Drosophila melanogaster: one gene and its partner. The gene in region 1 interacts genetically with each later gene. Each region holds a gene or a part of one and is shown in the gene's direction. Other genes may lie near its edges. The genes, in order: c(2)M and Nipped-B.

What was found.
Region 2: of c(2)M (region 1) and Nipped-B, changing one suppresses a phenotype caused by changing the other (phenotypic suppression), as found in Drosophila melanogaster (one study listed by BioGRID).

What each region holds. Positions count from the first base shown.
Region 1 is NT_033779.5:16,300,962-16,306,440, forward strand, and holds c(2)M (crossover suppressor on 2 of manheim), read left to right. Parts: upstream 1-2,302; 5' UTR 2,303-2,390; coding exon 2,391-2,521; intron 2,522-2,600; coding exon 2,601-2,764; intron 2,765-2,820; coding exon 2,821-3,101; intron 3,102-3,160; coding exon 3,161-3,344; intron 3,345-3,398; coding exon 3,399-3,783; intron 3,784-3,835; coding exon 3,836-4,143; intron 4,144-4,201; coding exon 4,202-4,336; intron 4,337-4,393; coding exon 4,394-4,518; 3' UTR 4,519-4,979; downstream 4,980-5,479. Other genes in the region: CG17328 (uncharacterized protein), read left to right, coding at 1-647; GMF (glia maturation factor), read right to left, coding at 1,116-1,244, 1,300-1,490, 1,557-1,650, 1,810-1,812; CG5861 (uncharacterized protein), read right to left, coding at 4,998-5,359.
Region 2 is NT_033778.4:4,725,806-4,730,879, reverse strand, and holds the start of Nipped-B (Nipped-B), read left to right. Parts: upstream 1-1,862; 5' UTR 1,863-2,101; intron 2,102-2,328; 5' UTR 2,329-2,380; coding exon 2,381-2,447; intron 2,448-2,528; coding exon 2,529-2,700; intron 2,701-2,755; coding exon 2,756-2,871; intron 2,872-2,926; coding exon 2,927-3,086; intron 3,087-3,145; coding exon 3,146-4,032; intron 4,033-4,091; coding exon 4,092-4,256; intron 4,257-5,074. UniProt on the Drosophila melanogaster protein: Plays a structural role in chromatin. Involved in sister chromatid cohesion, probably via an interaction with the cohesin complex.

The sequences.
Region 1 (5,479 bases):
GCGACAAGCCTTTTCAGTGTGAGATCTGCTCAAAGCAGTTTTCCGCGTTAGGCAATTTCCAGGCGCACCAGAAGATTCATTTAGGAGTGCGGGATCAGGTATGCTCGCTATGTCAGAAAGGTTTCTACACCGCCGGTGATCTCTCCAAGCACATGATAACCCATACGGGCATCAAAAACCATCACTGCGATGTCTGCGGCAAGGCTTTCAGCAGGCGAAGAGATATGCGGACTCATAAATTGAAGCTTCATCCTCTGGAGTCCAGTACAAACCATGATATAGTGGATGATGATGATGATGAGGCTATAGACACGGATCCCGTGGGTCTGGACACCCTCGATCACGCCCACTTCAAGTGTCCGGATTGCGACAAGGCATTTGATACGGCGGACAGCCTAAGTCTACATTTTCGCACGCATGCGGCGAATAATAATCTACTGAATTTGCCGTTGCCTCCTGCACCACCTATGTCGCATCACTACCATCACGATGCACTGCATCATCTCGGCCCACCGAATCCCGCCACACAAATGGGAATGGCTGCAATGGCTCACATGTTGGCACCGCCGCCGCCTCCACCGCCAACGCCAAGTGAAGGACGTTACACTATGCTGCACCACACGGCGGCACAAAGACTACATTATTAGAGTATAGCTACGAAGATTTATCTTAATCATAATTATTGTTTTAGATTATGTTTTGATATTGAACACTTTTATTTAGTTTGTCTATATAAAATGGAATATTTTGTCATGTTTGCTTTTATATCTTTACAATAAATACATGTAGAAATTTGGCAAGCACAGCTTCTATTAAGATTATTACTTAAATGCAAGAACTAAAATCACTAAAAACTCCCCGCGCGTACTTGTCGCATACTTGTCGTCGATATAAAAATGTCATTGTTGTATAAACTAAGCTTGATTTGTGTTTTCTGTAGGTAAAAATTGTAGTATCTCAATATTGGTTTGTTTGGTATTGGTATGCATCGTTGGTATCGGCTTAATCCAGTTTGAATATGTATATAAAAAGCTCAAAAATCAATCAGAGAACTATCATAAAATATTGCTTTTGACAACGGCCCGGATTGATTGATCCCAGAGATCGAAACCTCTCTACTTGAGCTTGGCTTTCAGCCACTCCTCGGTGAGTTCGTCTAGTTCGCGTATCTCGTAGACGCGTGTGAGATCTACTTCGCGCTGAAGAGCGCTCTTCGTGCAGGCGTACATCATCTGCAATTCGATCTGAAACAGAGAGTTATGAATTATAGAATATATTTGAGCATTGCTAAACTCCCACCTGGCTATCCCTGGGTGTGTAGAATATGAAGCACATTGGGTACGAAATGCGCTGATCGTCATGGACCATTTTATACGTATAGATGACATATCGGGGCTGGTGTCCTGGCAATGTATCCTGCAGCTCGTCCACCGAAATATCGTCGATGAACTCGTCCAGCACCACCGTTTGCTTCTCCCGGTCGACTTTCACTGCAAGGGACAATGGAGTGGTCATAAAAACTACACACATCTGTTACCATGACAATCAAGGCTTACATATCAAAGCCGCATTATTTTTGCTCTTGCTGAATCGAAACTTCTTCAATTCCTCCAGAACTTCGTTGCTTATGTCGCATATCTGGTTATCACTCTGTATGAAATCGATATAATTGATTAATGAATTGGAATCACCAAAGTTATCTGCTAACAACAATCGTCGATTGAAAAACAAAAACAAAAACACGCCCACACTCTATTAGTCATGTTTTCATTTTGGTAATTGATTTCCGACCCTATATACACTTCCTACCATAACTTTAGCTATGAAGTTAGGGATGCGATCTGTAAAGTGTGCTGCACTACCGAATTTTTGGCAGTTAATTGTAGGAATGCAATATCACTTGTCCTTAAGGAATCGTTTAAATACTGTCGTTTATTCTGAGTTTTGTTTTGTTGTTCCTGCAGTGAGACCGTTCACTGAACGCCAAATAATATTCTGTGCTGCATCAAAAATATGTGAAGTGTTGTTAAACGACGTTTCTGATAAATTAAAAAATAATAACAATATTTGCTAAAGGTTTTTTTTTCATTAAGCTTTTTTCTTTACGGCAACATTGGTATTATTTATGGAATTTATTAAAAATAATTGAAATGTATTTTTTAGATTGAAATAGGAACGCTCTTTTTTAAAAATGTTTTGTAGATATACTTAAAACTTATCATTATTTTATAGTAGGTAAAAATCGTTCGTATACGATATTTGGATCATGTTTGTCCTCTCTAGTGGCTGATGGACTGTCAAAAAAGTACCGTTACTTTAGGGTTGTTACAGAGAGCACTAACTTATAAATAGTTAATACTATAATCTATGTGCTTAATGTCGTAGTTACAATGAGCTTGAATTTATATGAGAGCAACATCCTTAATTCCTGCTGGAAAGCGGGAGGGCGCAAACCGAGGAAATCGGCATTTGGCCAACTTAATCGAAATGAGATCGCTGATGTGGATGTAGTCGCCTGCTGGTAATTAAATATTAAATATAATGAATTTTTTTAACATTTCATTATATTCAATTGTTTTCAACATTTATCTACATTTCAGCAAGCAAATCACCGAATTAATTGAGGAAAATGCATTAAGAAAACGCCAGAAACGATCCAATGTTTTGGCCGCAAGAAACCGGCAAAATGTTATTTTCAAGGACATTTCCCGCTTGGTTTTTGGAGTTGCGGATATTTTTAGATGCCAAGTGGATCTACTTTTGGGTAAGTATTAGTCCGAATATTACGTAACATTGATATATAATCACGAATTCTTACAGGGGACACGAAGGTATTACTTGACCAATGTACACGTACCAACTTGGATTACGTTCTCACCACAACAAAATCCGTAGTGGTCAACAAATCAGAGATTCGAATCCAACGCAAAGGAAAGCGGGTGATCACCAAGAAATCTAAAGTAACAGTATCAAAACGTCCCAGACTGCAGGAATCGGATCTATTGGATGAATTCTCACATGAATACTACGAGAAGATGCTATCCGAATGCCAGATGTGGCAAACGGAGTGCACACAACAGGTGGTGGAGGACCTGAACGAGGTTAGTCGTCAATATACTGTTGGACTGCTTCCTTATATGATTTCATTTTTCGCAAAAAGTCTATTGAACAACCCCGGAGTTGCACTCAGTCAAAGTCGTATCATTCCATTACAATCACCGAAGAGATTGAACTTCCCGAAGATCATAGCTTAATTATGCCATCAAATGGTTTTGGCGAAGCCGAGGGCGCGGACTTAACCATTTTTCAAGAGCTTTACCCCAAAGATGGCACACGGAACTCACGTAAGAATTCTCAATTCAATTGAAAATGTAATAAACTATTTTTTTGTATTATAGTAAAGCGACACTCAATAGCTCAGGATCCAACTGACATCTTACCGGATAAAATGCCCAGATTGGATGATTGCGATGTTTTCCAAGCTGACAATGCTATCATGACCCAAATCTTTCCGCATAACATTGAACCAGCTGAAGTAACTCAGATAGTTTGTGAACCGTCGTTGCCATCCGTTTTAAATTCTTTTGGAGAAATAACATTTAGCCACCCGAAAAATCGGAAAAGAAAGCTAATAGTAGACAAACGAATTGAATACACCCGGGAGCAGCTGGTGAAGCATAGACAGAAATATATGGAAGAATACCTTTCAAGGAATGTGATAGTGCCAAAATCCTCGGATTTACGGAAACCCCCTAAGGAACTTCTCTGTAAACTGTATAATAAGTAGGAGCCTTATACATTTTGCTATTTAAAACTTTTTAATTTTTTGATGTAGTGTAAGTTTTTTAGCTCTTCATAACCACTCCGGACCTAAGCTCAGTAATGAAGAAAAGGAATTCGAGGCAGAAAACACATTGAGAACCATATTTGGCTGCGAGTTTACCGAGAATCTTTCTAAAGAGATATTTGTGCGACCATCGCAGGCTACAAAATGTAGGGATAAAGCGGCACATATCTATCAGCCCGAACCGCTTGAAGTGGAAGACTGTGTGCAACCTCAACTTCAGCCACGTGATGATGTAAATCAGAATTATCATAATGAAATGAATGAGCACGGCATATACCGTGAGGATAATCATGATGGTGAGTTCAGCCAATGTTTACAACATGCTATCGTAAATAAAATATAATCTCATTGCAGATACCTACAGCGTAATGATGAGTCTCTTAAGCATTTGGCGTAATAATCCGAAAATCACGGGAATCGATGCCATTGATTTTATAAAAACGTTTGATAGTCGCATCAAGGCTTCGTTAGCCTTTCTCCATTTGTTGTGTGAGTTCGAAAAAGAACAAAATGTGTGTTGGAAATAACGTATAGCTTAAATTTCAGATCTTGTTCGAGACCATTTTATAGAGATATCAAAGCGAGCTAATTCGCTGGAAATGTACCAAATTACTCTTGGCAAAGAGTCCGCTAAGCTAATAGACAATCTTATGCTGAGTGAGACTCTGTGAATATTTTTAGATAATTTTTTTCAAGATTACCAAACAACTTTGTAGTTGACAATCTTCCACATTTTTGTTGTTGTTTTGTTTTCTGTTATTGCTATTGTGTTATAACATATAAGTTGAGCCAATCTCTAACCTAGATGGCTTTAATCTACTCTTTTTCCATACAATCTTATGGTACAATTGAGCAACGATGTCCTGGATAATTCGTTTCATTTCAAGAATTGAAAAATTCTATAGATGTTACTTGTTGCTGTCTATAAAAATAGTTTTTTTTTCATTATCATATTAGTTTCGTGTACCCATTAAAAGTTGTTTGTTATCTTTGTTACTATTACGTTATCGTAGCTATAATTCATTAACATTTGGAGTAATTCTCTAAACCGTAATTGTTGTCTTTGTTACAAAATCTCAATTTCTCTGACAACACCAAAAAATAAACAAGTTACAAAAACAAAGGAATACAGAGTGTTTGGCACAATTGCTTAAATTCCGATCTGCTGGGCCAGACCCGAATAGATGTGCAGCGTGCAGAATCCAATGACGGCCGCCACCAGCGCTTTAACAGCCACCGTTAGCCAAGGTCCAATGGTCAGAATGTGGAGCATGCCCTCCAGCCAGACGCCTTTGAAGACAGTCACCGCCAGAAGTAGACTAACCAGCGGCTTTAATGCCTTGTTCAAATCGTGACGGGTGAAGAGCCAGATCAGGGTGGCCGTAGTGATGTGCTGCACCAGAAGCACGTTCGATTCCAGACACTTGAGGATGTAGATCCAACTGAACTCGGTGCCTCGGGCACCCACCCACAGCATGATACCTCGGGAAAGAATCACTTCGGCGGTGGCCCCTGCGGAAGTATACGAAAATATTTAGTTTTTACTAAATTTTTGGAAGTTGTCATACATATATGGGTTGGGGTATTAAAGGTTGAGTAGGCATTGGCTCTTGTAACATTAATATATCTGAA
Region 2 (5,074 bases), on another chromosome or scaffold:
CCACGCCCTGGCGGAGGTGCAGGTGGCACGATGAACAGCACCAATATGGGTGGTGGTAGCGATGGAGATGGTGGTCCGCGCGGCTGTGAAGACTTCATCATTTAACATCGGTTTCGCAGGATTTCTGGGCCCACCTTTGAACTGGAAACAGTGGAAGTGCCCACGGAGACGAAGTTCTCCCATCGAAATCGTCTCTATGTGGGCAACCTGACCAATGACATCACCGACGCTGAGCTACGCGAGACGTTCAAGCCATACGAGCCATACGATTAGCGAGATCTTCTCGAACCTGGATAAGAACTTTAAATTCCTAAAGGTCGACTATCATCCCAATGCCGAGAAAGCTAAACGCGCCCTGGACGGATCGATGCGAAAGGGTCGCCACGATTCGCACCGAATGTCATTTTGCGGGTGATTTTGCGGAAGAAATCTCACACCGATACTTAAAACCATCGATAGTATCGATAGTTCCATCGATGGTTTTCCAGCTCTATTACAAACAATAATACCAACTGGGTCTAGTTTAAGAAAATTTCTGTTCCCACACTGAACTTTGCTCCTGAATTGTGTTTTCACTTGACGGACCCACGCGTCCGCGTCCTGACTTTGAGACTCCCGCCCATACACTGCTCGACTACCCTCGTGCACTTATTACTCACTACATGCTTTAGCTGCCTGGTCCAGAGGCGCTGCTGCCGTCTATAGGCTGTTTTATTTTCCCGTTACGCACGGCTCGCTAGAGTCCAAGGTCCACGTGTCCAGTAAACACCTTTACCGTTCGACCTCTGTGCCCTTGGCCGGTCTCTCCGCTTTACCGGGGTCCAAGGTCCAATCTTCAGCGTTTGACCTGACTCCTCCCGCATTACTGCTTTCTGCTCTGTTCTCCTGGACTTATTGTGAGTTTTAAGACCCCTCACAGTATTGCTGTTTTGCAGCAGGGGAGAGAAAAAGAATACGTATGCATATACGATATATACGTTGAGTATGCCCTAAGCCTTTGGTAAGCGTGGAAAGGCTGATTATGCATTTATATTTGGTGGCCGTAAATTGGGTGCCCACCTCCGCCGAATCCGCCTACCGACTCATTTAGTCTCCCTTTGTGAACCGGTATGTGCGCGCTTTGTAAGCAATTTTTTTAGGCCAATTTTTTTCACACTCTCGCACACTCAATGTAAGGTAAGTTTTTAGTAAGTGAGCAAACATGCTCAATAAAACGACGCTATGTGGCGCTTTTCGACTATAATTCGATTGATCGAGCTCTGCAGGTACCGGCTACGAGCTCCACATTTATTGCCAATTGTTCTTCAATCGTTGAATTATTAATTCACAAAATATTTCTCATGTATGAGAAGGACAATTGACTTTACCAAGACGCAAATTTGTTTTAAGCCTGTAGAAAATAATTTTACGTATAATTGCACAAAAAGGTAAGGTAATCATATATCATATATCAATAATTTGTTTTCCCAAGATCCATGATCTGGAAGAAATGAACTAAAACAAAATCGATTTATTCGCATACAATTGCACATCCTTGAATATTCATATCTTGTAAGCATACGCATTTCATATGGAAAAAGAGATTATGCGATATCGGTTGTTTTGCCGTTTTGAACGGCATTTCCTAATGAAGACCTTTTTATCGACTCGTTTTCACTGTTAACATTTATTGAAATAAGTATCGGGACAGGAGAAGTAGCTTCAAGTCGGTAATGCCCTAAATTGCAATAAAACATTTTTCTTTTAGAAATATCTTTCAAACATCCAAGCTCTCTACGTTTTATTGAGTTGGTGTGTAACTACATAGTCTGGAAAGGAGTATTATATATGAAGTATTAACGTTTCGGTCTGAAAAGGTATTTTTTTATTAAGTTTAGCGCGGCCACACTATCCTACAGGTCGGCCATATTCTTCAAACACTATTTCGCAAACTAAAAAATTACAAGTACTTATTATTGTAAATGTATAAGTTGGTATTTAATTAAAACGCAAAGGAGAACCGGAGTAATTCGTTTATATTGAACTGTGGCAATTCGTTAATAATTGTTGATCGCAATAACATAACGGTAAATGGTAATGCTACCGCAATTTTTTTAACTACGTAAGTAGTTGTTTATTATAAATCAATTTAAAGGGATTTATCTAATAGATTTTTAATTTATAAACTAAAAAGATAAGATAGTACATAAAGTGACTTATAATACAGCTGGACAACATCCATATATTTTAATATATTCATATAAACATTGTTTCCAATTACATTGTTTATCATGTTGATGAAATAATGTTTGGTTGTAGCGTAATGAATAATAGATTTATTTTTTTTAGCTCCTAGAATCAAAGTTGTGTTGTAATCTATCGGATTATCCTTACATTTAATATGGGGGAACGTGACAACCCAACCGTACCTGTAACAACATTAGCTGGTTTAACCAGCACTTCTGATTGTAAGTATTTTCTGTGCAAGAAAATATAATGTGTATGTACAAGTTTAAAAACTTTTAATATTTTTCTCGTTTAAATGCAAGTGCTAAGCGAGCTACCAGTGGCGGATTCGCTCCAGAGTGCTGCGTCCTTAAATAAATCTTTATTGTTCCATGCTTTGGTAGCTAACGAGTCTAGCAATTTACTTTCTATGCGAAACGAAAATCTAGTTCGACAATTGGTAACTGCCATTGAGAGAACAAACTCCGATAATATGTTAGTTGTTTAATTGATTGTATGTTTTGCTTTATTAAAATAACTTGTATTTTAGAGAGTTAATACATTGCCCAGTTCAAGACACAGCAACTAACTGTAGTACTTATCCTGAGCTTCTCCAGGGAATATATCATTTTCGCCCAGCGGTTTTTAACACTTCCATAAAAATACGTATGTTTTAATAATAAAAGCAACCATTTGTGTATTACATGAATTTCATCCACAGACTCTCCGGACCAACATACTGCTAATGCTCGATTAGAGGCAAAGAAAATGCAAATTGATTCCTATTCAATACCGGAATGTTATGCATCACCAACAAATTTGTCGATTTCAAATGAACATCAATTGCAAGACGCTCAAGCCTGCTTCAATCAGCTTACTAGGTGGCGTATATATTTTATTATTCTACAAGCCTTATATTTAATGCATTTTTCTGTTTTAGTATGACCTCAAAAGAAATCTTAGAAGAATTTTCACAAATAAATTTTAAGGAAAATGCAACAGAAAAAGATAAAATTGACGTTATTGAAAATTCAGATTTAAATGTGACTAAGATACTTTCACAAAATACTCTAAAAAAAAAGTCTAACACACCAGAAAGAAGTACGGTGCAATCAATACAAGAACAGTTTTTTATTCAGCAACAAGAAGCCAATTATAATTTAAAACATGATTTAAACCAAGTATCAACAAATGTTGGTCAAATTCAAAATATTTCTGATACTTTTCCCCAAGAGCCGTCAAATTTTAATTTAAATTCTGTAAATATCCCAAACATGTTATATGTACAAAGTCCACCTTTCACTGAATCAGAACCAACTCAAGCACACCACTCTTCAATTGAATATTTAAAAAAAAAAAAATCACAAATTCTTGACGTCAGCATTTTAAATCGACAACAGGTGTTAGAAAATACCAGCTTACATATTATTAATAAAAGTTCAACGTACCAAACGAACCAAAATGTATCAACAACTACATCGACATCTACTTCCTCAAGTGGCAAGTCCCAGGTCCGGGTATGTATAAATCGCCTTAGTATTGAGGATTCTCGCCTTATGCAACAGAGTATTAAAAAGTTTGTACAAAAGTCACCAGAATTGGCTAGAAGCATGGGGTTACTACAAGAAACGTGCCAGCAGCAACATGAAAACTTGAATATTATACCCACGAGTGCGGAAGAATGTGTATTAGAGAGTCGTGCTTCCAGTACAAATAATACAGTCAAAATCCCTATTGATACATTTTCTACTATAAAAGCCGATGAAAAACGATCCGCGAAAAGAAAACTTGCCATATCAATTGGTGACATCCCACCGGAACAAATATGTAAGTAATGAGTAATAATTTCCTTATACAAAAATTAATTGATCAAAATTATATTATAGTTTCAAAGCCTAAAATGCGTCGGGTCGAAAGAATTACACCTCTTTCGAACACAAAGTGTGTGAAGGAGGAAGTCACCCGTTCGCAAACATATCAACAATTTATTCGAAACATGGATCACATAATTGAAATATTAGACGATAGTGAATCTCCTAACTTTGACTCAGGTAAGTTCAAATACTCTGTTAAAGCTAGAGAATATTTATGAAACTTTAAGACCTATTATTAATTAGTTCGATTAATTGACACTTATGTTTACAAATATTTTTACCCGTTACTCTTAGAGTAAAGGGGTATACTAGATCCGTTGAAAAGTATGTTACAGGCAGAATAAAGCGTTTCCGTCTATATTAAGTATATATGTATATCCTTGATCAGGATCAATAGCCGATTCGATCTAGTCATATCACTCTGTCCGTATGAACGTCGAGATTGGAGGAAATATATGAACTAGAAGGTTGATATTCAGCATTCAAATTCTAGAGACAAAGATGCAGCGAAAGCTTGAATGCATTCCCCAATTAATATTGATGCAGCGAAATTGATGCAGCGAAAGCTTGAATGCATTCCCCAATTAATATTGGGGAATAAAATGAGAAATGTTTTTTAAATTGCTCTAAAGTGTGTGGTTGACCGGTTTGACAGCTTTAGGGCGTTAGAGTGGGCGTGGCAAAAAGTTTTTGGCAAATCGATAGAAATTTAAAAAATTAAAAATATGTGAAAAAACAGGAACATACTAAAATCGACTAAATACAGCAATTTCGTTATCTCTAAAGCTTGCCCTATAACTTCACAATACTATTGAGCTAGGCTTACGACTATATTTTCTTTTTCATAAGACGAAGGCTGTCCACAGAGTTTTTATTGGTGACAAATCTTGTCAATATATTCCGATTTTTTGCCAACTTGGTACTGGTTTAAACCATCAAAGGAATGCCAGCTTTGATCATCTGGATGATCCGTGTATTTCTTTAACCCTCTTGAT